2 linked regions of the Cricetulus griseus genome follow. The protein of the gene in region 1 interacts with the protein of each later gene in a biochemical or structural test. Links are inferred from orthologs where the notes say so. Each region holds a gene or a part of one and is shown on either strand. Other genes may lie near its edges.

What was found.
Region 2: the proteins of Xpo1 (region 1) and Adar form a complex in vitro, tested with the Homo sapiens proteins (2 studies listed by BioGRID, with this or other methods). The link is inferred for Cricetulus griseus from reciprocal best matches to the Homo sapiens genes XPO1 and ADAR.

What each region holds. Positions count from the first base shown.
Region 1 is NW_023276807.1:83,488,314-83,500,357, reverse strand, and holds part of Xpo1 (exportin-1), read left to right. Parts: intron 1-1,095; coding exon 1,096-1,168; intron 1,169-4,618; coding exon 4,619-4,680; intron 4,681-5,239; coding exon 5,240-5,284; intron 5,285-6,647; coding exon 6,648-6,829; intron 6,830-7,018; coding exon 7,019-7,067; intron 7,068-7,144; coding exon 7,145-7,264; intron 7,265-10,148; coding exon 10,149-10,277; intron 10,278-11,005; coding exon 11,006-11,164; intron 11,165-12,044. UniProt on the Homo sapiens protein: Mediates the nuclear export of cellular proteins (cargos) bearing a leucine-rich nuclear export signal (NES) and of RNAs.
Region 2 is NW_023276806.1:64,814,744-64,826,787, reverse strand, and holds the start of Adar (double-stranded RNA-specific adenosine deaminase), read left to right. Parts: upstream 1-884; coding exon 885-912; intron 913-3,373; coding exon 3,374-4,796; intron 4,797-7,161; coding exon 7,162-7,345; intron 7,346-8,576; coding exon 8,577-8,722; intron 8,723-9,254; coding exon 9,255-9,393; intron 9,394-9,512; coding exon 9,513-9,697; intron 9,698-12,044. UniProt on the Homo sapiens protein: Catalyzes the hydrolytic deamination of adenosine to inosine in double-stranded RNA (dsRNA) referred to as A-to-I RNA editing.

The sequences.
Region 1 (12,044 bases):
CTTGGGACAGTCTGTATTGTGCTTTGGCTAAAATGAGCATTTATATGATCCCTTTGGTTGAAATACTAATGCTCCTATCTTATTGTGTAAATGACTAACAATTTTAAAGATGAACTCTTATTCTCAGCCAAAACTTGCAATCTGAGGCTATGTCTGTGTGAATGAGTTTACCTTTCAGGTATTACAACCCGTTTTTAGAATCTTAATTCTTGAGGTGAAACAAAAAATACATTTTGGTTCCTTTTCTTCCTCCTGCCTATCTACACTAATTGGTCATCATAATAATGATCAGTAATAATTTAGCGAGTAAATCCTGGAGTATTATAAATTCTTAACTGTTGACTGTTTAGAGTGCATAAGCAGCAGAAGGGATAAAATGGATTCAAAGTGGTATCTGTTATTTACCTTTTTCACATATGAGTTACAGCTTACATGTTTGTAAAGGGATACCTGAAAGGTAGACACAGATTGCAACATGCATTTGTATTTTATTTTGACTGTGCACAAAAGTTTATCTTTAAATTAGTAGAAATAGAAACTGTATAAGGGTGGGGCTAGAATTGAAAATGAACCTGTGGGGTTTGTCTTGCTGCTCCTTAAGTAACACACCAGAGACGCTTACACTTGTGTAGAAAGTATATGTAGCAACACTTGATGTTTGGCTGCAAGCTTGTAGCTCCTAGAGGAGGATAGGAAGCTTGACAGCATCCAAGCTACTAAATTTAGGAGCCTGGTTGTGTTAATAATGTATGTGAGCCTATGAGCAGTCTTACACTGTGAATTCATATCTGGCTGTTATTTTTCCTTCTACAGATAAGCCCATTTGGCTGCTAAAGGGCTTTTTATTTGGTTCTTCCTCCTGGTGTGAGCATGTATAAACAGCAGGACGTTACATAGAGTAGTAAACAGTAAAATGAGGAAAATGCATGAAATTTCAGCTTATGGGTGAATAGATCCTTGTTTAATATGTAATTAAACTTGATAGCATAATGTTTTTGAAATGTTAGCTATAAATGTGTGTCTGTCCATTTGTGAATCCTGAATATCCTGGTCCTATGATAAGACACTCACATAATTCTGTTCTCCAATTTTCAGTATTACGGACTACAAATTTTGGAAAATGTGATAAAAACAAGGTGGAAGATTCTTCCAAGGAACCAGTGTGACGGTAGGAAAATATCTTAAGAGTAATTTATTAATGTTGCATGGCAGGCTGTTATTTGTGTAGGGCAGGAGGAGTAGGTTACCTTTTAGAGGAAAGAGACAACCATCACTTTGAGCAAACCTTGTTTAGAAAAATAAGAGCATGTACACATTTGTGTACACGTGTGCACTCAGGAAGCAAAGGCAGGTGGATCTCTGAGTTTGAGGCCAACTTGGTCTATAGAGTGAGTTCTAGCTCAGCCAGGACTATATAGAGACCCCCTGAGGAAGAAAGAAAAAAAGAAAGAAGGAACGAATGAACAAACATGGCCGTCTGACAATGAAGATCTTAGGTAGAGTACTTGCCTAGCATTTTGGGGAGGGGGATCACTGGGTCATCCTCAGCGTGACATGCACACCAAGTGAACACCTCTTGAGCTACTTTTGGGCATGGCTGGAGATTGTTTATGCTTAGCAGCTTGATTGAACTTGGGGAGAGGAGTATCAAATCAAGGCTTTTTAACCATTGTCTTTCTGAGGTTGCTTTATGTGAGGGATGATTTTCTAAATCTAAAATAAAAGTGTAGTGATGGCTACAGTTAATCTTAAATGTTTCTTCCTTCTGTATTGGAAAGGTGTGGTGGTTCCCACTTGTAACCCAGCACTCATAAGGTAGTGGAGGCAGGAGGATTGGGAATTCAAGTCCTGGGCTATATGAGATCCTCTCCACACCTATGTACACATATACCTACATATTCAAAACAAATAAATGTCATAGCTTTAACAAAAAAGAGACATAATATTTGATACTAATTAGAAAATTGAGGCCAGGTCTATAGCCTAGTGCTAGGGCACTTGTTAACCCTGCACAGCCTCTGAATTTGACTGCTTTATTTTATGCATATGGATGTTTTCTCTGCATATGTACCACATGTGTGCCTGATGCCTGGGGCAGTCAGAATGGGGTGTTGGATGCTCTGGAACTGTAGTTATGGGTGGCAATGAGCTATTAAGTTCACTAGTTGTGAACAGACTATGTGTGTTCTGGGAACCAAACCTGGGTTCTCTGGATGAGTGGTAAATGCATTTTTCTTTTAAGGTGGGTGTGGGCGTGTGTCCGACCATCTATCTCTCTCCATTGGTCTGTGTCCTTCATCTGTGAAGGCCAGAAGGAAGTGACCAATATTTTGGTACTTAAGTTAAAAGTGGTTATGAAACATCCTAAGTTGGTGATGGGTACAGAACACAGGTTTTCTGGAAAAGCAATGTGTCTTTAACTCTTGAGTTATCTTTCCAGCCCTGTTCCTTTCTGAATACATTTTTTTGTTCTTTTCCTGTGTGACTCAGGTGGTTTTGTAGGTAAGGATGGCATTGGACTTTTGGTTCCTTTGCCTCTACCTGAGGGCTGGGAATACAGGCTTGAATTCCCATAGCTTTGTGCTGATCAAACCTAGGACATTAAACATAGTAGACAAGCACCCTACCAGCTGAACTGCAGTCTTAGTCAAGTTCCATGGTGGCAGATATGAATCATCATACTTGGCTGAAGTTTAAGGTTTTTGGTTTTTCAAGACACGGTTTCTCTGTGTAGCTTTGGAGCCTATCTTGGCACTAGCTCTGGAGACCAGGCTGGTCTCGAACTCAGAGAGATCCCTCTGCCTCTGCCTCCGAGTGCTGGGATTAAAGGTGTGCGCCACCAACATCCAGCCGCGTGCGTGCGTTTTGTTTTTTTTTTACATTCCAACCTCGGTTTCTTTTCCTCTCTTCCCGCTACCCCTTCCCCCACCTCACATCTGCTCCTCTGAGAGGGTAAGGCCTCCCCTAGGAAGACTACTAAGTCTGTCTGATCATCTCATTGAGGCAGGATCAAGGCGCCTCTCCACCCCATACCTCTGTGTCTAGGCTGAGCAAGGTATCTCTCCTTATAGAATGGACTCCACAAAGTCAATTTGTGCTATAGTGTTATATCTTGGTCCCTCAGCCAGTGGCCTCATATATTGTCCCAGTCACACCATTGTCACCTATATTAAGGGAGTCTAGTTCAGTTTTATACTGGTTCCCCATTTGTCAGACTTGAGACCTGAGACCGTGATCTCTCACTAGCTCAGGTCAGCTGATTCTGTGGGTCTCCTATCATGGTCTCGATTCCTTTGTTCATATTATCGCTCCTCCCTCACTTTGGTTGTACTCCAGGACCTTTTTTTATTATTACACTGTAGTTTTAGCTGGGTGTGATGCACACTTGATCCCTGCTGCTTATTACACTGTAGTTTTAGCTGGGTGTGATGCACACTTGATCCCTGCTGCTCCAGGACAGCCAGGACTACATTGAGACCCTATCTGAAGAAAAAAGGAAAAACAAAAACTTTTTTTTTGAGACAGGGTTTCTCTGTGGCTTTGGAGGCTGTCCTGGAACTAGCTCTTGTGGACCAGACTGGGCTCGAACTCACAGAGATCCGCCCGCTTGCCTCTGCCTCCCGAGTGCTGGGATTAAAGGTGTGTGAAACCACTGCCTGGCAAAACATCTTATTTTTAAATTAAATTTTGTTTTGTTTTCTGTTCCCCAATACCACCACAGGACCTCTATGTGTCTTGTAGCAATTTAGACCAGGCTAGCCTTGGGAAGACAGGGCTAAAGGGGTACTTCACCATACCCATCTCTAATCAAGTCAATTCCATAGCACAAGGCCATTGTTTCAAAGTCTGTGGAGGCCAGCCTGAACTTCAAACCATGTATCTATTTAATCAAAGAATACATAACACTTGGTATATTTTCCTATAAAATTGATGTAATATCTTATAATTTTATTACACAAAAAAAATGTAGTAGTAAGATGGATAGCTTCTTTTGTGTGGGGGGGGGATAGCTAGTTTATAGTTAGCCTGTGACTACATATGTCCTGACACCACCACCACCACACCACACCCCCTGTTCTGGACCTCAACTCTGTAGACAAGGCTGGCCTTGAATTCGCAGAGATCCGCCTGCCTCTGCCTTCCAAGTGCTGTGATTAAAGGTGTGCACCATCACTACTCAGTTTTGTCTTGATTTTTCAAAAGTTCAAAAGTATGAAAAGCATACCCATAGGCATGTCAGTTATTCTGAGGTGTTTATCATCAAATCTAGGGGGGTTTTGTGTGTTGGGCAAGTATGGTCCTGAATATTTGTTAGCATGGTGTGAAAGTGTGATTTTGTTTTCTTAATAGAGTCACATTCCGGTGGCTCTGCGCACCTTTAATACTCATCATTGGGAGGCAGAGCCAGACAAATCTTGAGTTACAGGACAGCCAGACTACCTTGTTTCAAAAAAAAAACAAAAAAAGTCACATCTAGTTCAAGTTGTTGTGACAGTTCCTTTGCCTCAGCACTCTAAAGTGCTGGGGTTACAGGCATAAACCAACTCCCATGCCTATCTTACAAGAAGTTTTCCTTTTTTTTTTTTTTTTTTACACATTGTGTATAATCTTTTAATAGGGATAAAAAAATACGTTGTTGGCCTCATTATCAAGACATCTTCTGACCCAGCATGTGTAGAGGTAAGAAAATTCTTTGAAAATTATTAATTTTTGAATTTTGTTTTCTTTGTGTGCACACACATGAGAGTGCCTAAGTTCGAAAGTGTGGGTGTGGTGATCCTGGCAAGTGAAGAGAGTCAGTCAGTGCTCTTCTCTTCCTTCCATCCTGTGGGGCTGGAGATTGAAACTCATATGTTTGCAATGTAAACCATCTCTGAAAATTCAGAGATTGATGGTTTTTTAATTAAGTTTATTTATTGTGTGTGCAGTGTGTAAACAACTGGGTGCTTTTTGAGGTTAGAGGGAGACTTTTGGGAGTTGGTTCTCTCCTTATATTTTATAGGTCCAGAGAATTGGAACTCAGTTTGTCAGGCTTGGTAGCAGTTGGCTTTTCATGCTGAGCTCCCTTGATAGTCCCCAGAGAATGTGTTTGAGAAAGCAAACATTTAAATGTTAGCCTACTTTTAACAGTCATAAAAACATGTATATTTGTAGTACATCAGTAGTCATTTCTAATGCTTATGTTTGTGTTGTATTCTTTAGGCACTTGTTTAATGTGACCCCTTTCCCCTTTCCCTAGAAAGAAAAGGTGTACATTGGAAAGTTAAACATGATTCTTGTTCAGGTAAGCTTTATATTAGCCATCTTCCTCAGAAAATTTAAATGATTGTTACACTTAACATTTGCATCTGTTTAAACTTCCCCATCACATAGATATCTTTATAAAAAGGATTTGTATTTTAATTATGTGTATGTAGGTGTGTGTCTGTCTTGTTTTCTGGTGGATATGTGCATGTGAGTGGAGGTGCTCACAAATTACAAAGGTCAGAGGCATTTGAAAGCCCTGGGCCTGGAATTATAGATTGTTGTGAGTGACATGTGCCTGACATGGGTCCTGGGAACTGGGCTCTCAGGTGTTCTCCTTTTTTCTTCCCTGAGACAGGGTTTCTCCGTGTAATGGCCTTGGCTGTCCTGGAACTTGCTTTCTAGGCCAGGTTGGCCTTGAACTCATAGAGATCTGCCCCCCTCTGCCTCCTAAGTGTGCTACCTAACCGAACCTGAGTTTAGGTCTTTAGTTAACATTTGTTATAATGAGCCTGTGGTGATAAGAATCAACAATTATTTTAAGACTTCGGTTATATGGCTTCAGTGTAAATTGGACTGTATATTGGAGTTTGAAATTTTCAGTGCATCTCTTGGATTCTTAGACCAATAACAATGCATTCCCCTTATGTGGCTGGTCCAGTTCCAGTTTATATATCCTTACATGGAATTTGGCCTCCTAGTTAGTTTCCATACAGTCTTTCCTAACCACTTATGTAGTCTTAAGTTTAGAATGTTTATATTGACCTGTTTTCTTTACTGTCCCCCAACAGGTCATCCTTCTGTAGAATGTTAGGAATATTCTTGGCTATGACACTATCCAAACTTCAAAATTCTAATATGTTTTACTAAGAATTTAGTAGAAAATTCATTCCCTGTTTGTGCTATATACTTCAAGGTGGAAATGTTCCCACCCTAATATAATTCAAGAACCAGGGCCTGGCTGCATCAACTTCACTACATTAGCAAATTTATAATAATGTAAGGAGTAGATTATATCTAACAGAAAATGTTTCTTACTGATTTTTGGAGTAGCAGGGATTGATCCCAGGGGTGGATATGCTAGATGAGCATTCTTACTAGCCCATAAATATGTTTTCTTAATCAGTCACCCTTTATCATTTAATTAGATCTCAGTTGTTTGGGGAGAGGTTATACATATCTTTCAGGCAAATATTATCTATCATATGCTAGGACCAAATGTAACGATCAGGGTAACGGAGTGGGGTCTATGAGTAAAACACTGTGTATTGTGTTTGTGTGTGATGTAGAGAGTAACACAGTTCCTTCCTTAATGGGATTCAGTGAGTGATATTTACTCTGGCTTGGCAGTTTTTTTGTCCTTGTCACTTGAAGTGAAATGTGTATTTCATCTTTAATTTTAGATACTTAAGCAAGAGTGGCCTAAGCATTGGCCAACTTTTATCGGTGATATTGTTGGAGCAAGTAGGACCAGTGAAAGTCTATGTCAAAATAATATGGTGATTCTTAAACTCTTGAGTGAAGAAGTATTTGATTTCTCTAGTGGACAGATAACGCAAGTGAAGGCAAAGCATTTAAAAGACAGGCAAGTAATTATGTTTTAAATTACGTTATATGGAGCTCTAAGTGTAAAAGCTTCTTTTCAATTACTTGGGGATGTGTACAGGAGATAATCAGTGCCTCCCTGTTACTCTCCATCGGGTCTGCCTGAAATCGGGATTTGTATTTTCCTACTTTGCTAAATCTTTTTTTTTTTTTTTTTTCCCCTGCTTAGCATGTGCAATGAGTTCTCACAAATATTTCAACTCTGTCAGTTTGTGATGGTAAGTGGTTTTAATTTTCTCCTTTTTGAAATAAAGTAGAGTAGAGTATGTTTATGATATGATGCTTGTGTTTGCAGGAAAGTTCCCAAAATGCTCCTCTTGTACATGCAACTTTAGAAACACTGCTGAGATTTCTGAACTGGATTCCACTGGGATACATCTTTGAGACCAAGTTAATCAGCACATTAATTTACAAGGTAAAGCTGTACACTTCAATTTTGTCTCTGGATGGGCACAAATGATTTTTCTTAACTGACACTGTTAATGGCTATCTTTATGAAATGAAGGAACTGCCCTCAAGATTTTTACATGAATAGTAATCATTTTATATGACTCTTTAAATCTTTTTTTTTTAAATTAAGGCATAGTGGTGTATGTTATTATAATACTGCAGAGTCAGAAGTAGGAGGTCTTTTATTTTTATTATATCTATTTGTAAATTTTGTGTTAAGGTTTGTGGGCATGGATATATCTGGAGGTCAAATGACAGCTTGGTTGAGAGTTGGTTCACTCCACCATAAGGGTTAAGGGGACTGAACGTTGCCTGCTTCTTTACCTGCTGAGCTATCTCAAAGCCCCAGGTACAGGGTTTTCAAGTTTGAAGGTGGCCTAAATTACTTACCTAGGAAGGTCTGTCTTAAGAAACCAGCTAACTAGGTCAGTTTTTCAAGAACAAGTCAATGGGGATGGAGAGATGGTTCAGAGGTTAAGAGCACTGCTCTTCCAGAGGTCCTGAGTTCAATTCCCAGCAATCACATGGTGGCTTACAATAATCTATAATAGATAGGATCTGTTGCCCTCTTTTGGCATGCAGGCAGTACAGGTATAACACTGTATATATAATAAATTGTAGATAAATAAATAGATCTTTACTTTTTTAAAAAAATCAGGCATGATTGCAATTTAAGGCCTGTGTGAAAGCTTTCTGGGGGGAAGGGGCGGGTCTGAGGCAAACAGGGTTTCTCTGTGTGACACTTTGGCTGTCCTGGAACTTACTTTGTAGACTGGCTCACAGAGATCCACCTGCCTCTTTAAGACCACTTAGCCCAAGACTTCCAGGACTACCCAGTCTCAAAACAAAAGGTCAAGACAAAAAGTAAAGTGAAGGCTGGAGATTGTAGCTCAGATTCGATTCTTGTTGCTGTCAAAAACAAACAAGATTTCTATATTGGGTACAATTAGCATATTGCTTTCTTTGGATTGAGTCACACAGTGAAGTGTAATTCAGGGGATAATCCTATAAAGTAAAAAAGAAATTTGTTTACATGTATTCATTTTGTATGTAGTTGCCTGTCCCCAGGATCAGACTCAGATCGTCAGTCTTAATGGCAAATACTTCAATACTGGGGCCATGAAAATCTCTTGCCTGAGAAATTTGAATACCATACACTTACTAATTACTGCTACCTGTAGTTGGAGTGTTTCTCCAGAGCATCTGCTCCCAAATTACCAGCTGCTACTTCCCAAGTAACTGACTCCGAGACTTAAGTTATAACTGCTCTACTGATAGCTCAGGCTTGTTACTAGCTAACTCTTACATTTAAATTAACCCATATTACTGTCCATGCTTTCCCACATGGCTCATGATTTCTTACCTTATTTTCTACATGCCTGCTTCCTGGGCAGCTAGCTGGCATCTCTTGACTCATCTTTTTCCATCCCATCATCCTCAGTTTGACTTTCCTGCCTAACTTTATCCTGTTTAGCTACTGACCAGTCATAGCAACATATATTCACACAGTGTACAGAGGAATCTTCTGTAGCAGTTACCAGTGCATTGTATTATCTTGATGAATGTTATTGGGATGTTTTTTGAACCTTAGTAAAGCTAGATTAGTAACCAGTGAACTTTGTAGATCAGTTATTAATAAATCCCAAATCAACCACCAAGGGTATACAGAATATATACATCCTAAAGACCTTATTTTGGGGGTTGTGGAGGGTGGTAAGGATATCATGGTTTAAGTTCATCTCATATTCAATGTAGGTGATGTGTAAGTTGATGGTGACCCCCTCCCCATTGTCTATTCTCATTCCTCAGAGTAGGTTTTTATTGTTGTTGTTTTTAACTATTATTAAGATGGGGTTCTCAAGCCAATCGCCAATCAAACATAAACAGTAATTTAGATCCTGGGAAAGTTACTGAACAAGTTGTTTTTTTAAATTTCAGGTGTACTAAGGATGTAGTTCCCTATTTGCTAAGTGTGCACTGTAACACATAAAATAAAAACCTAGAGACAGATACTGGGGTTTAAGCTTCAAGCTGAAGATCAGAAAAGCAAAGCAGCCCAGCCAGCCATTAGCTCTCACCTCTACCTCAGACTAAAAGGGCTATCCTGTCATCAACATGGCTGGAGACTAATTCTCACATCAGACCCTTTGCTTCTTCCTTTTATACCTCTCAAATCCTGGGATTAAAGGTGTGGGATCCCAACCTTTATGTGAGCTGTTTTCTTTTTAGACTGGATAAATCTCATAACTCAGTGTGGCCATGAACTAACAGAGTAGTCTACCTCTGTCTCCTGAGTCTTGGGATTAAAGGTGTGTACCACCACATAGCTTCTATGCTGACTAGTGTGGCTGGCTTTGCATCAACTTCAGAAAATCTTTATTAAATCATAACTAATATATCACCACAGTGTACAAAGCAATAGGCTTAATCCCCAGTATCCCTATACCTGTGAAGCAAGTAGAGAGTTCAGAAGTGTAAAGTCATCCTCAGCTTTGTAGCAGTTTTGGTCTTCATCTGGGCCTCTCAAAGAAAAGCAAGCATTTCAGTACTTAGAGTATATGGTGTTTTATTTTGTGGGAATGAGTTTTGACTATGCATGTGTGCGTGCTATATATGTATCACATGTGTGTCTGGTGCTCTTGGATGTCAGAAGGAATAGACATAAGAAGAGAGTGTTGAATCCCATTTGACTGCTACTTGTGAGCTGCCTTTGGGTGTTGTTGGGAGTAGAGCCTGGGTCCTCTTGAAAAGCTTTTTAACCACAACCAGCTTTCCATCCCTTACCCTCCTTTGTCATTTTTAAAATAAATGTCTCTTGTTTAATTTTGCTTTCTCTTTTAATAAAATAGTTCCTGAATGTTCCAATGTTTCGAAATGTGTCCCTAAAGTGCCTCACTGAGATTGCTGGTGTGAGTGTAAGCCAATACGAGGAACAATTTGAAACTCTGTTTACACTTACAATGATGCAGCTAAAGCAGGTAATATACCACTATTTTGAAAACTGAATGATTTTAATGCATTAGAAATGGGAAGATTCATGACCAATAGCACTGCCCAATGAACAATAAAAAATAATAGATTTAAACTATAGAATAGTTAATACAGATGAATTGTGTGATTATATGTACATTATATAAAATCTTGAAAGTTTTATTTTCTTCCTTGAAATATTTAGGTTTTGCTCTTTGCCATTAAAGGGTCAGAAAGGGACTTTTCCTGCCTCTCTCTTCCTCTCTGTCTTTACATCTTTTCTCTTTCCTTATTTCTTACCTCCCTCTCAATAAAACTTTCAAAATGAAAAAAAAATATTAAGGGTTTTGGCGTTACATGATAACTAGAAATTTGAAGGTTGAATTTGATTATACATTGGGAAATTAGGAACCTGATAGGACCAATCTCTCCCTCCTCAGTCCTCAACATTGCTTGTCTAAACTAGACAACCTCTTCTCTAGACTAAGATCTGTTGGTTATCTAGGAAGATAAGCATGATGTTGTATTACTGTTTGCCATTTGAGTGTACCTTTATATTTTTTCTGTGTCTTGAGAAAAACCTGACAGAAAAATTCAAAGAATATAGCAGGCAGCGGTCTAGATTGGCCAGAAATACAGTGCAGATTAATGTCAGCAAATAGGGTTGTCATTTTAGAGTTCAGACTGTTTTCTTGTGGTTTTGTAACTTGTTTGTAACTTGGTTTTTAACTTCCAGATGCTTCCTTTAAATACTAATATTCGAGTTGCATACTCAAATGGAAAAGATGATGAACAGAACTTTATTCAAAATCTCAGTCTATTTCTCTGCACCTTTCTAAAGGAACATGGTCAACTTTTAGAAAAAAGACTGAATCTCAGGGAAGCACTCATGGAGGTAGGTTTGGCTCCTAGTATTTGTCTCTTCAAAGCAAAAATAAAATAAAATAAAAGGCTCTTGAATATGTGCCTGTTCTCTACATGGATTTTTGAGACATCTTGCTTGTTCTCCACCTGTATGCTTTTTGTGGTTTTGTTTTTGAGTCACGATACTTTTATTTAACCTTGACTGTCCTGGAACTTCACCGTAGAGCATCACAGAGATCTGCCTGCCTCTGCCTCCCTAATGCTTGGATTGGATTAAAAGCATGCCCAGCTGCTTTAGCTGCTCTTATACTATCTCCTAGGTTGTTGTGGAACTCTGTAGGGCAGTCTGGTGTTGATCTTTCAGTGAATCTAGGTGCTGAGATTATAAGCATGAGTATGCCTTGTTTCCAAAACAGATTCCTGCTTTGATATTTGGGTCTCTGTAGTTTTGGCAGACAGGCTGACCTTGAACATATAGACAGACATCCACCTGCCTCCCAAGAACTGGGATACAACTATGCCTGACAATTTTTTTTAATTGGAAAACTGTTAATATACAAAACATAAAAGCCAGACATGTCAGTACTGTCCGTGGGAACTCACACAGGGAACACACACAATGTAAATACCATATTTGGGATAGCCTGTATGAATCTAATTTTGAAATGTGCTCATGCTAGTAATCTCAGCACCTGGGAAGCTAAGGAGTGAAGATTCCCAGAAGTTCAACACCAGAGTTCCACACCAGCCTAGGAAATGGTTTTATTGTTTGAATATGTGTCTGAACAGTATAACCAACAGTATACTGTTTCCTAACATTTTTAACATCTCCACAGCAAATTGTGTACCCATGTTTTGTTTGAGACCAAGTCCTCTAGTCCTGATTTGCACTAAACCATTTATATATACCA
Region 2 (12,044 bases), on another chromosome or scaffold:
GGCAATAAGAAACACACTATAAACTGTGATTGGATGTACATTCTCTTAACTTCTTCCTAGATGTGAAGCTTCCCAGAATGCATTGTCATTCACTGTAGATCTTATTGAAATGTATATTTACTAATGTAAGTATATTTTAAAACAGGGGGGAAAAAGAAAAAGAAAAACAGCTTCACAGAAAGTACTAGTGCAAGTGCCTGCTGGAAAGCCAGGCCCAGTGGTGCACGTCTATAATCCCCTGCACTCAGGAGGCAGAAGCAGGAGAAGTATGGTGAGGTAAAGGCCAGCCTGAGCTACATACTGAGTTCCAGACTAGCCTGGGTTACAGAATGAGACCCTGTCTCAAAGACCAAAAACAAGGGAAAGGAGGAACATTCTAGACCAAGTAACAGAATATGCAAGAAGATATGAATATCCACAAGAAGGTATGAAGTTTGAGGCAGCCAACAGGGTGGACGGGGCTAGTGGGGACAGGGCATCTGCCTGATAGTCACGCTGGAAAGGGACAGACTTGTAAATCTCTTAACTGGGATTAAACACGGAAAAGGAACTTCCTCACTGGGCAGAGGGGTGCTGTTGAGTGCCCAAGTGAAGCTTTCCAAAATACCGTGAGCCAAAATAAGCTTGTCGGTGACATAAATTGCACCCCAGCTCTCAGCTAACATATGAATAGTGCATTGCTAGCGAAGGCGGAGTGGCGAGGAAGGCCGTGAGTGGGGACTGCCGCGGTCCAGCCCTTGGGGTGGGCGGGATGCTTCTCTGGGGCCGAGAGCAAACTCCTCCTCCTGGCCCAGCCATCGGGCGGGGGAAGCCGGCTTTTCCAGGAAACGAAAGTGAACTCTGGGGAGCCATCTTGTGGCCCAACTGCAGGTTTGGCCGGCGCTATGGCTCAGGGGCTCAGGGGACCCGCAGGTAAGCCCGCGGGGTCTGCGTCCCCACGTCCCGGTTTGCGGAGTGTGAGTTGTGTGGGTCGTGCGCTACCTCATCAAGCCGATCCGCCTCCTGGGGATTTGTATGCAGTTAGTTGTTGTAGCGTTGAACAATGCAGGAAGGAGGCGTGGGAGAAGGTGGACCTGGGTCTCTTGTGCCCGACCCTGAGGACCCAGGCCAAGGCAGACTCCCCTCCCCTTTCTGCTTAGGGCCGCTGACACCTCGCTGAGCTGCTGTAGTCCCACTTGAACAACTGTTCCTACCTTAGGGCCCTTCCCCTTTGCTCTCTTTGAACTTCCTGTTAATTTTAAATTTGCAATTTGCTTTCAAGTAACCTACAGGGTTAGGGTTAGGGTTAGAGTGTCTTTCCACAGCTTATGGGGTAAGCTGCAGTGGAATTCTGCTTAGCGCTCAAGTGAGAAGTGCTGTTCTTGTGCTGCCGTGCAGTGTTTTGAAGAATCCGGATTCCGAGGTGTCGTGCTGTGTGCCATTCTGAAAAGCAGTGGGGATGAAAAACGGATGCTTGGCGCTGAGGGCCAGAAGTGAGGAGAAGGTTGAAGGCAGAGAGGTAGAAGAAAACTTGAGTAGAAGTAGAAATGTTCTTTATCTTGATTGGGTGGTGGTGATAGTAGTGGGTTTCTTTTTTGAGACTGTTTTTATGTGTTGCCTTGGCAGCCCTTGAGCCATCCACAACTCATTCCTCCTTAGTGCCCTTGCAGGCATGCCCCACTCAGGGTTATACCTCCAGTTTTAAAAAGCTACTCGGGATGAACCATGGCTTCACACTTGGTAGGCAAGCGTTCTACCACTGAGCTATAGAAGTGTGTGTGTGTGTGTGTGTGTACATTTAAAACTTAATTTTGGGGGGCATGGTGGCACATGCCTTTAATCCCCTCACCTAGGAGGCAGAGGCAGGTGGATCTCTGTGAGTTAAAGCCAGCCTGGTGTACATGGTGAGGCATTGTATCAAGAAACATACCCCAAAAGCCAACTTTTAATTAATGGATGTACAGGCATACATGTATTCCTCTCTGTGGAGGTCCAAGTCCCCCCAGGGTTGGTCCTTACCTTGTTTGAGACAGGGTCTCTTGTTGTATCCAGGGTTGGCCCTCAACCTTTCAGAAGTCCTGCAATTACTGTGCTTATACCATACATCAGGCTTATTTGTGGGTTCTAGAAATTCAACCTCAAGTCCTTCGAGTTGTGCTTTTACCCAGGGTCATCTTCCCAGCCCTTAATGTTGTATTTTAAAAAGCCCTTTCCTAAAACCACTGAGGACATCTGACTTGAAGGAAAAGCATTTATTTATATATAGTGACTTTGAGGAATAGTCAGTCCCAGTAAGTGACTGTTAGCAGCTGTTCTCAACTGAGACTTGGTTTTTAGGGGATGTTTAGGGGTGAGAAGACAGAATAATTCCTTCTCTAGTTCTACCTTCCCAAAATAACTCAGTAAATTCATTACTGTTTCTTTTCATTTTTGCTCATACTGGCACATACACACACATACACTCTTGTGGGTTTTCCCTTTTTCTTACTAGAAGAGAGTATAACATACATGTGCTCTGCCATTTACACTTTTAACATATACCCAAATTTTCTGTGATCAGAGTGCACATGTAGCTGACTGTTGATGATGTAAGTCACTGATGTAGAAGCTAAGGAGCCCCATGGTGGGTTACTACAGTCGTGATTAGGATGGGTAAGATACCCAGTCATGAAAGGGTGGAGAACAGAAGTCTGTGACTCAGCTCCCCTGTAGCCTTCAAGAGAGTCAGGGGAAGGCTATGAATGCCTCAAAAACATTACTGTATGTTTGCTCCAAGTTTGCCAGCATGGGGAAGGCAAGCAAAGTGCTGTTCCCATCCCATGAGCAAATCACCACTGCTCTCCAGCAGGGTGCATGGGAAGCTGGGGAGATAGGATGGAAGTGGTGAATAGACCCTGCCTGTTCCCATGTCCCGGTGAGCCTTGATGCCAACTGAAGAGGGAAGAAAGACCACTTGCTGTTTTTAGACAGCAACTCCCTAGCTTCCCTAAAACCAAATTCTGATCCTCCGGGGACCAGAGTGGCTAACAGGTAAATCTCTGAGAGCCCTTTACCACATGGAGATGGCTCTTGCTAGTTACACTCTTCCTTCAGCTGGGAGAAAGTTTCATCCACTCTTAAATTCCACTTGTCAAGATCATCCACATGACAAAACTCTAGAGACTAAAGGGGCTGTGTGTCTTGCACCCTCTTTCTCTGTGTCCCGGATAAGCTCCCAAGCAGTAGGCAGTAGTGGACTAAAGTCACCTAGTGAGGACATAGGCCACAGCTCAGTCAGCTACCCTGCCCACTAAGAATCTGGAACAGCTTCCCCAGGCAGAAACTGGAGGGATGACAGCAACAGGCTCATATATGACTCTAACTCAAGCTCTGTCCTCCATGTTGTCTTCTGCAGGGGTGTTCCCTCACCAGGCACGCTCCTACTTGGACCCCAACTATGAGCATAGCAAGTGGAGACATCCACAGCCACATGGGCCTGAGTCTTACCCCGGGAGTTTCCAGCTCCAGCAGATAGACTTTCTCAAAGGGCGGCTCCCAGAAGCACCCCTGATTGGACAGCAGTCCCAGTCACTGCCGCCATCCCTCCCAGGACACTGGCCCAGGTTCCCAGGGCAACCTGCCCAAGGCAAGCAACTGGAAATCTGGGGTTTCCCCAGAAGTGTGGCTCTCAGAACTCAGGGGTTCCACACAGGACTCCCACTTCCTCTCCCACCCAGCAGTAGGAGTCTGCCATGGAGAGGTGCTGACAGGCTTTGTTCACACTTCCGGGAGCTGAGCATCAGTCAGAATCCGCAGCAAAAGATCCTAGGCCGCCTGGAGGAGCTTGGTGAGGGGAAAGCCACCAGCGCCCAGGTACTAGCCAGAGAGCTCAGGGTTCCAAAGAAGGAGATCAATCGTATATTGTACTCCCTGGAAAGGAAGGGGAAGCTGCATAGAAGAGGGGGATCTCCTCCTCTGTGGAGCCTTGCACCCCCACATCAGGCTTGGACTCAGCCCTCTAGAGCTGTGAATCCAGATACTTGTGGCCAGACAGTCCCTCAGGAAGAGCCTGGTTTGGACAGTGAAGACAGAGACCCCGCCTCTGACTTAGAAGGACTTCCTGAGCCTCTTGACATGGCGGAGATCAAGGAGAAAATCTGTGACTACCTGTTCAATGTGTCAAACTCCTCTGCCCTGAACCTGGCTAAGAACGTTGGCCTCACCAAGGCCCGAGATGTGAACGCAGTGCTGATCGACTTGGAAAGGCAAGGCGATGTCTACCGGCAAGGGGCCACGCCTCCCATCTGGTGCTTGACGGATAAGAAGCGGGAGAGGCTGCAGATAAAGAGAAGTACACACGGTGTTCCTGCAGCTGTCCCAGAGGCTACCAGAAGCACCTCATTCCCCATCTGCCACTCACCCCCATCAGGTGCCTCAAGCAGCCTGGCAACCCCCAAAAAAGTAGAGAATGGGCAGGAGCCTGTGATAAAGTATGAAAGTAGGTATGAGGCCAGACCAGGGCCAGTGAGACTGCGAGCACACGCTTATCACAATGGCCCCTCTAGAGCAGGGTATGCTGACTCTGAAAATGGCCAGTGGGCCACAGATGACATCCCAGATAACTTGAATAGTATCCACACAGCACCAGGTGAGTTTCGAGCCATCATGGAGATGCCCTCCTTCTACAGCCCTACCTTGCCACGGTGTTCACCATACAAGAAGCTGACCGAGTGCCAGCTGAAGAACCCTGTCAGCGGGCTGTTAGAGTATGCTCAGTTCACTAGTCAGACCTGTGATTTCAACCTGATAGAGCAGAGTGGACCGTCCCATGAACCTCGGTAAGAGACCACCCAGGTATCATGCCTAGCTTTGAGTCAGGTGCTCTGGTTCCTGCACTGTCTCAGCTCATTTGTCAGTGGTGGCCTTGGTGGCTCCTGTCTTTGCCTTCTCTCTTTTCCACCTTTTGGCTAAATCATCCTTGATTCGTCCCTTCTCTAAATGCTAATCGTGGAGGCTAGACCTCAGGGTAGCCAGAATCCTGGCTGAGCAAGGGGAGATTGACTCTCCTGGCCGAAGTGAACTTGCGTAGAGATGACTACCTCTTGTGTGCCCGTATCTACCTTCTTAGGCCATCACTGCCAAACTGAGCAGGTGGGCTGGGGCCGGCTGAGCAGGCAGAATAACAGCACTTGCTAGGCAGAAGCAGGTGCACTTCCCACCCCAGCCTCCGCTTAAAGGGAAAGAAAGGATGTGTCAAACACAGAAAGCTGCCTGCCAGTCTTATCAAAGGTGGTACTTCTGCTTTCGCACACTTCCCTTGCACAGGTAGATGGACTGCACTTGCTGCTGCTGCTGCTGCTGCTGCTGCTGCTGCTGCTGCTGCTGCTGCTAAGCCAAGAAGTCAAGTTCCCGAGCTCAGGCAGCTGGCCAGACTTTGGCACTGTGGCAGTGGTTCTCAACCTTCCTAATTCTCTGCCCTTAATATAGTCCCTCATGTTGTGGTGACCCCCAACCATAAAGTGATTTCCTTGCTATCTCATAACTATAAATTTTCTACTGTTATGAATCGTAGTGCAGATGTGCAGGATATTTGATGTGTGACCCCTGGTTTCCAGGGGTGTAGGTTCCCCACAGTGACTTGTTTCTTCCTTAACTTCCTTCATGATACCAAGTTACCACTTCAGGAGAACTGCTAAACAAAGGGGGTATGTTTATCCCCAAACTACAGAGCCAGGACCCATTTTGGGGCTAGGGGCTAGCATTCTTTCTCTCTCTCACCACTCCTCCAAAGAATTAAGGGAAAGCTGGGGGCTTTGCCATTAGTCATTCTTTGGACTTCAACTATATAAAGAACTTGAATGCTGCCAGGTGTGGTGGCACACACCCATAATCCCAGCTCTCAAGTGACTGACTCCGTGTTGGGAGTACCAGGTTAGCCTGGGCTAATACATAGTAAGACTCTGCCTCAAAGGGGGGGAGGGGAATGAAAAGAAATGTTATATTATACTTGAGTGTTTTGAAGACCTAGAAAGTAGGAGGCCTTACCTCCTTCTCTGAATGAATGAAATGAATCCAGCTTGAGTAAAAAGCTCAGACATTTAAAAGGTTGAGCCAAGGAGACTGAGGCTAAGGCCAGAGTCTAGGGCCAAGTGTTTTGATTTTCATCCCAGACCTGGGACAGGCAGAGCTATAGCACTGCACAGCAATCTAAGAAGGACAGATTGTTATAGTGACCTGAGACACATCACCCACCTACAGGACCTTCAGAGTGGCTCCTCAACCACCCTCCAGCCTCCTGTTTCCCCTCTCATACCCAGCTCCCCTTCCTCCCTTTTTACCATCTAGCAGGTCCCTGCTACAGGGCAGGTGTCTGCTGTGGTCTGAGGACTTTGAAAAGGAGCACAATGCCTTTAGGACCTCCATGGAGGAGGCCAATCCACACAGTTGGCCAGGGGTTGTTAGCAAGACTGTCCACCTATCTCTTTTGTGCACTTTTTATTGTTAAGAAATGATAGCGGAAGCTGGGCATTGGCGCACGCCTTTAATCCCAGCCCTTGGGAAGCAGAGGCAGGCGGATCTCTGTGAGTTCCAGACCAGCCTGGTCTACAAGAGCTAGTTCCAGGACAGGCTCCAAAACAATACAAAGAGAAACCCTGTCTCGAAAAACAAAAACAAAAACAAAAAACAAAAAAGAAATGATAGCGGGCCAGCATACCTGCAATCCCAGCACTGGGGAGGCAGAGGCAGGAGAATGTGTAGTACAAGGCCAGCAAAATCCTGTCTCTAAAACATGGTGGGCCAGCAAGATGGCTCAGGAAGTAAAAATACTTGCCACAAGCTTGACAGCTTGAGCTCAGTCCTCTGAACTCATGTAGCGAAAGGAGAAAACTGACTCCCACATGTTGTCTGTGATACACACACACACACACACACACACACACACACACACACACACACACTAAACTAACACAATCAATGAATAACAGACACCACTGGGTGTGGTGGCACACACGTTTAATGCCAGTACTGGGAGTCAGAGGCAGGAGGATCTCTGAATTTGAGGACAGCCAGGGCTGTGTAGAGATAGAGACCCTAGTAGGTACTTGGTATATCAGAGCATCCTGGGGTAGAGAGAGATCTCTTTTGAATGAACAGAGGGATGACCCAACCTGGTGTTCACACATCTAATCACTTTCCACCAAGATTTAAATTCCAGGTTGTCATCAATGGTCGAGAGTTTCCACCAGCTGAAGCCGGCAGCAAGAAAGTGGCCAAGCAGGATGCAGCAATGAAAGCCATGGCCATTCTGCTTCGGGAAGCCAAAGCTAAAGACAGTGGAAACCCAGAAGAATTATCGAACTGTCCCATGGACGAAGACTCAGAGAAGGTAGGTGTTCTTCCCTGGGATCAGTAACCCTCAGCTGTTGTGTGTCAGGATCTGACAGACTCTGGAAGTTGTCCTGTCTCAAATAGTCAACAATCCTGAGGCAGCACCCCTATCCTACCCCTCCTCACACCCCTGCCTACCCTTCCTCTTAGCCAGCTCCTGGTCTGCCTTCCTGGTCTGATTGTATTTGCAGAGTGTCAGGGTCAAAAGAAGCAATAATAGTTAGGATTCTCTGGAGGAACAGAACTTATATAACAAATAATTAAAAGGGTTTCTTAGATGAACACTTGGTATGGTCAGAGTGGTCTAATGAGGGCCGTCTCCCAGCTAGGAGGCTGCAAACTGGTAGCTACTGAGCCCCTGAGGCTGAGTGCCTTGTCAGTCCCAACCTGGCACTGAAGGCTTGAGCAGTTCTCAGAGAGCTGCTCTAATGTCCAGAAAAGCCAGTTCTAATATCAGGGAGGGAGGGAGAGGGAGGGAGGGAGGGAGGGAGGGAGGGAGGGAGGGAGGGAGGGAGGAGGGAGGGAGGGAGGGAAGGAAAGAGGGAGGGAGGGAGGGAGCAGCAACAGTACAGATGCACTCCTCAGTAAGAGTGAAGGCCAGGCACCTTTAATACCAGCCCTAGGGAGGCAGAGGAGGTGGATCCCTGTCAGTTTGAGGCCAGCCTGGTCTACAGAGTGAGTTCCAGGACAGGCTCTAAAGCTACAGAGTAACCCTGTCTTGAAAGAAACCAAAAACCAAAACCAAAAAAACAACCAAAGCCTTCCAGGCCATGTCCTTTTATCTGGGCTACTAGCATTTAGGGTGGTCTCCTCATATCAGCTAAGCTAGCAGGACAATCCCTCAGACATGCCCACAGGCTAGTCTGATCCAGACAGCGCCTCACTGAGACACCTTTCCTTTGGGTTTTAGCTGTGTCAAGTTGACAGTTAAAAACCAACCATCACAGACTTTGAATTCACGCTCCTCTCTTCTCCTTTAGAAGGCCACTCCTAACATTTAGTTGCTTGAAAGAACGACTTAGTTGGGCATAGTGACTAGTATTTGCAGCATTTGGCAGGCTGAGGCAGGAGGATTACCTTAAGGTCAAGGCCAGCCTGGGTTGTAGGAGGAGACATCGTTTCAAAAACAATGAGATAAAGTGTCAACACCATAAAGTGTCTACACCCCACTGCCCTCTGCTATGGTGATCTAATAAGAGTTTTGGCTTGTGCTTTCTTCTTTTCTCCAGCCAGCAGAGTCTCAGACCTCCAGCTCCTCAGCAACATTATTCTCTGGGAAGAGCCCAGTTACCACACTGCTCGAGTGTATGCACAAACTAGGGAACTCCTGTGAATTTCGCCTCCTGTCTAAAGAAGGCCCTGCCCATGACCCCAAGTATGTCTTTATGTGTGGTGTCTCCTGTGGATGTCTCCCCCAAAGTAGCTAAGACACTTACCTCAGAGATGAGAAGTCGTTCCTCTTTATGGTCTCTCCCGTTACAGTCTGGAAAGGGGCCTTCAGGGCCTTGCTGCTGCTATGAAGCAGAGAGTCTGGGATTAGGAGTTCGAAGGGACCGAGGACTAGGTAGGGTCACAGCATGGACAGCTTGACGGTCACTGTTGGGACAGGAAGGTTGAGAATCTGGGCATGCCTTAGCAGCTCCCTGCTTGAGGGTTCTGTGCACATACTTGTTCAAAAGAAGACTCCTAGAGGGTGTGAGGAGTGACACTTGCATGTTGAGTGGTTAGCCAGGTCACGAGACTGGGGGCAGTGGATGGGCGGTTCGCACTAGCTGTCCAAGGCCAAAATAACTACACAGAGGTGATGTGAATAAGAGCTACAAGTAATGGAGGGTGGCCGCCGACAGGGGCGAGGCAGATCACTGCAGCCCAGCCATTGTGATCCTTTGCCCATCATTTTCTCTAAGATTCCAATACTGTGTAGCAGTAGGAGCCCAGACTTTCCCCACTGTGAGTGCCCCCAGCAAGAAAGTAGCAAAGCAGATGGCGGCAGAGGAAGCCATGAAGGCTCTGCAGGAGGAGGCAGCCAATTCAGCTGATGACCAGGTAGGGCATTGTCCTGCTCAAATCACAAGCCATTTGTTACAGTGTGGGCAGAGAAGTCTTTGTGTCCCTCTGACTTTTCTGACATGTTGCTGGTTCCTCTTGGACTAATTCTCCCTTAGTCTGGAGGTGTGAACACGGAATCACTTGATGAGTCTGTGGCACCCAACAAGATCAGGAGGATTGGTGAGCTCGTCAGGTACCTGAACACCAACCCCGTGGGCGGCCTGTTAGAGTATGCTCGCTCCCATGGCTTTGCTGCTGAGTTCAAGCTGATTGACCAGTCCGGACCTCCTCATGAACCCAAGTGAGTGTCTTAGTCCTGGCAACAACTGCGTGTCAGCGGGTGAGGGTGGCCTGTAACCTCAGGGTAAGAAACGGTGCACATTAACTTCTGTCCGCTTCATCCCTTTCCAATTGCCCTTCTGTAAACATTTTTATTCTATGTGTGCGGATGTTTTGCCTGCATGTATGTCGGTGTACCGTGTGTTTGCAGTGCCCGTGGAGGCTAGAAAAGGGCCAAATTCCTTGGAACTGAAGTTATAGATGTTAGGAGCTACCGTATGGGTGCTGGGAATCAAACCGAGATCCTTTGGAGGAACCATCTCTCCCCTCACCCCCATATCGAATTTTTTAATTTTAAAAAGTAAGGAGAAAAATCTTCATAAAAACAACATGGGGCAGGGACACTAGGGAGATGAGTCAGGGTGAGGAGCACTAGGAGGCTCTTGTAGAGAATCCAGGTTTGGTTCCCAGCACTCACAGGGTGACTCACAGCTATCTGTAACTCCAGTTCCAGGGCATCCACCTCTGGTCTCCATGGACACCAGACATGTACATGGTACACGTTCATCCACGTGGGCAAATATTTAGTGTGTGTGTGTGTGTGTGTGTGTATGTGATTTTTAATTTTTTAAATTATCTTTTGGATCAGCAAGATGGCTTATTGGATAAGGGTACCAACTCTGATGACCTAAACTCTATCCCTAGGACCCATAGTAGAAAAAGAGAGGGCTGATTTCACAGATTGTCTCTGGGCACCATACGTTCACTGTGTGTGTGTGTGTGTGTGTGTGTGTGTGTGTGTGTGTGTGTGTGTGCGCGCACGCGAGTACTCACACGCTTCCCGGGAGGGGGGGCACTTTTAATTAAAACTAATGTCTTGCTATTTTAAAATTGCTTTATTTTTAGTAATGCAGTCATTGATGTTTCCAAGTCCACATGTATTTGCATTTCCTCATGAACTACTTCATTTGACATAACCCATTTTCTTTTAGAGTGTTACTCTTTAGTCTTTTAGAGCTTTTAAAACAATAAAAACATTAGTCCTGTGATGATTATGCCCCAATCTAACGGGGCCCAGAAGAGCTCCTGACTACCCCCACTTCAGGGTGCCTTTGTCCAGTGTGGAAGCTGCTGGGAAAGAGGGGGAAAGAGGACATGGGCTCCTGCCCCTCCCTCTGGCGAGCCTCCTTCTCTTTAAGCTAGGTCACATGATAGTGGGAGCTTTTAGTGACACCTTCTGTAATATTCTGGGAATTCAGTAATTCACTTGGAACATAAGAACCTTGGAACTGGAATTAAAGACATGAGATGCAGCAGACTTAGGACTGTAACAGTGTTGGACTTGCCGTGTGGCTTGTCCTGGGAGGCAGATGCCAATTTAGTAGCTATTTTATTTCCATCTCATGTGGTCCTTCCTTTGTGTGTATTATGCTGCATCCACTTTTCCCTCTCTTTCTTGGTGACCTTAACTCACTTGTTGGTTTTAATGTCTAAATGCTGGAAAGTGCTGAACATGTCTCTGTAACCCAGACCTCTCAAAGCTCCACATTCCTGTATCCAGTTACGTACTTTAACTTCTAATCAGACATATCCTAAGCGGAGCTCTGAGACAAGACTTTCCTGTCGTAGTAAACACCACCACTGCTTACCCATCCTCAAGCCACTAGGATTTCTAGTACTGGCCTCGAAATCACAGAGTTCTGGGATTACAGGCCTGTGCCACCACCGCCCGGCTAACAACTTCTGATATAGTGCTTTCGCCGTTGTGTGCTAGACATGATGTAGGCACACAGCAGAATGTGCATGGCTTATTTGCAAATACCATGCCATTTTACATCAAGAACTTAAGTGTTCTGCAATTCCAGTGTCCTTGGGGAATCCTAGAAGCACCTCCCATGAACACCAAGGGACACAACTGTACATCTCTGTTCCTGTGGTGGGAGGACAGACCTAGTCAAGGGACCGAGAGATGTGATGGATGAGCAGGGAGTGAGGGTAAGGCCAGCCTCTACCAGCTGTTTGCTGAAGGGCACATGGCCTGCCCACAGGGCCTGCCTTGTAGGTTGTCACTTTACCATAAAAACAGTAGGAAGTCATTGAAGGTTTGAGTAGAGCATCCGTGGTCTCTTGTCCCTTTATTAGCACTTTTCTGCTAATTTTTGTTTTCTCCTTTGAGAGTACCCCTCCAGGTCTTTGCCTCAGATTCCCACCTAAATCACTGTTGGCAGTCTAAACTGATAGCTTATTTCCCAAACCAGGCCACCTGCCTACCTTGCCCCTGTCAGGAAGTTTGAAGGAAGCATCCTTCCTTCTACATCAAGTCTAGGTCCCCTCCCCTTCTGTGCATAAGGACTGATTGTTTCCTGATC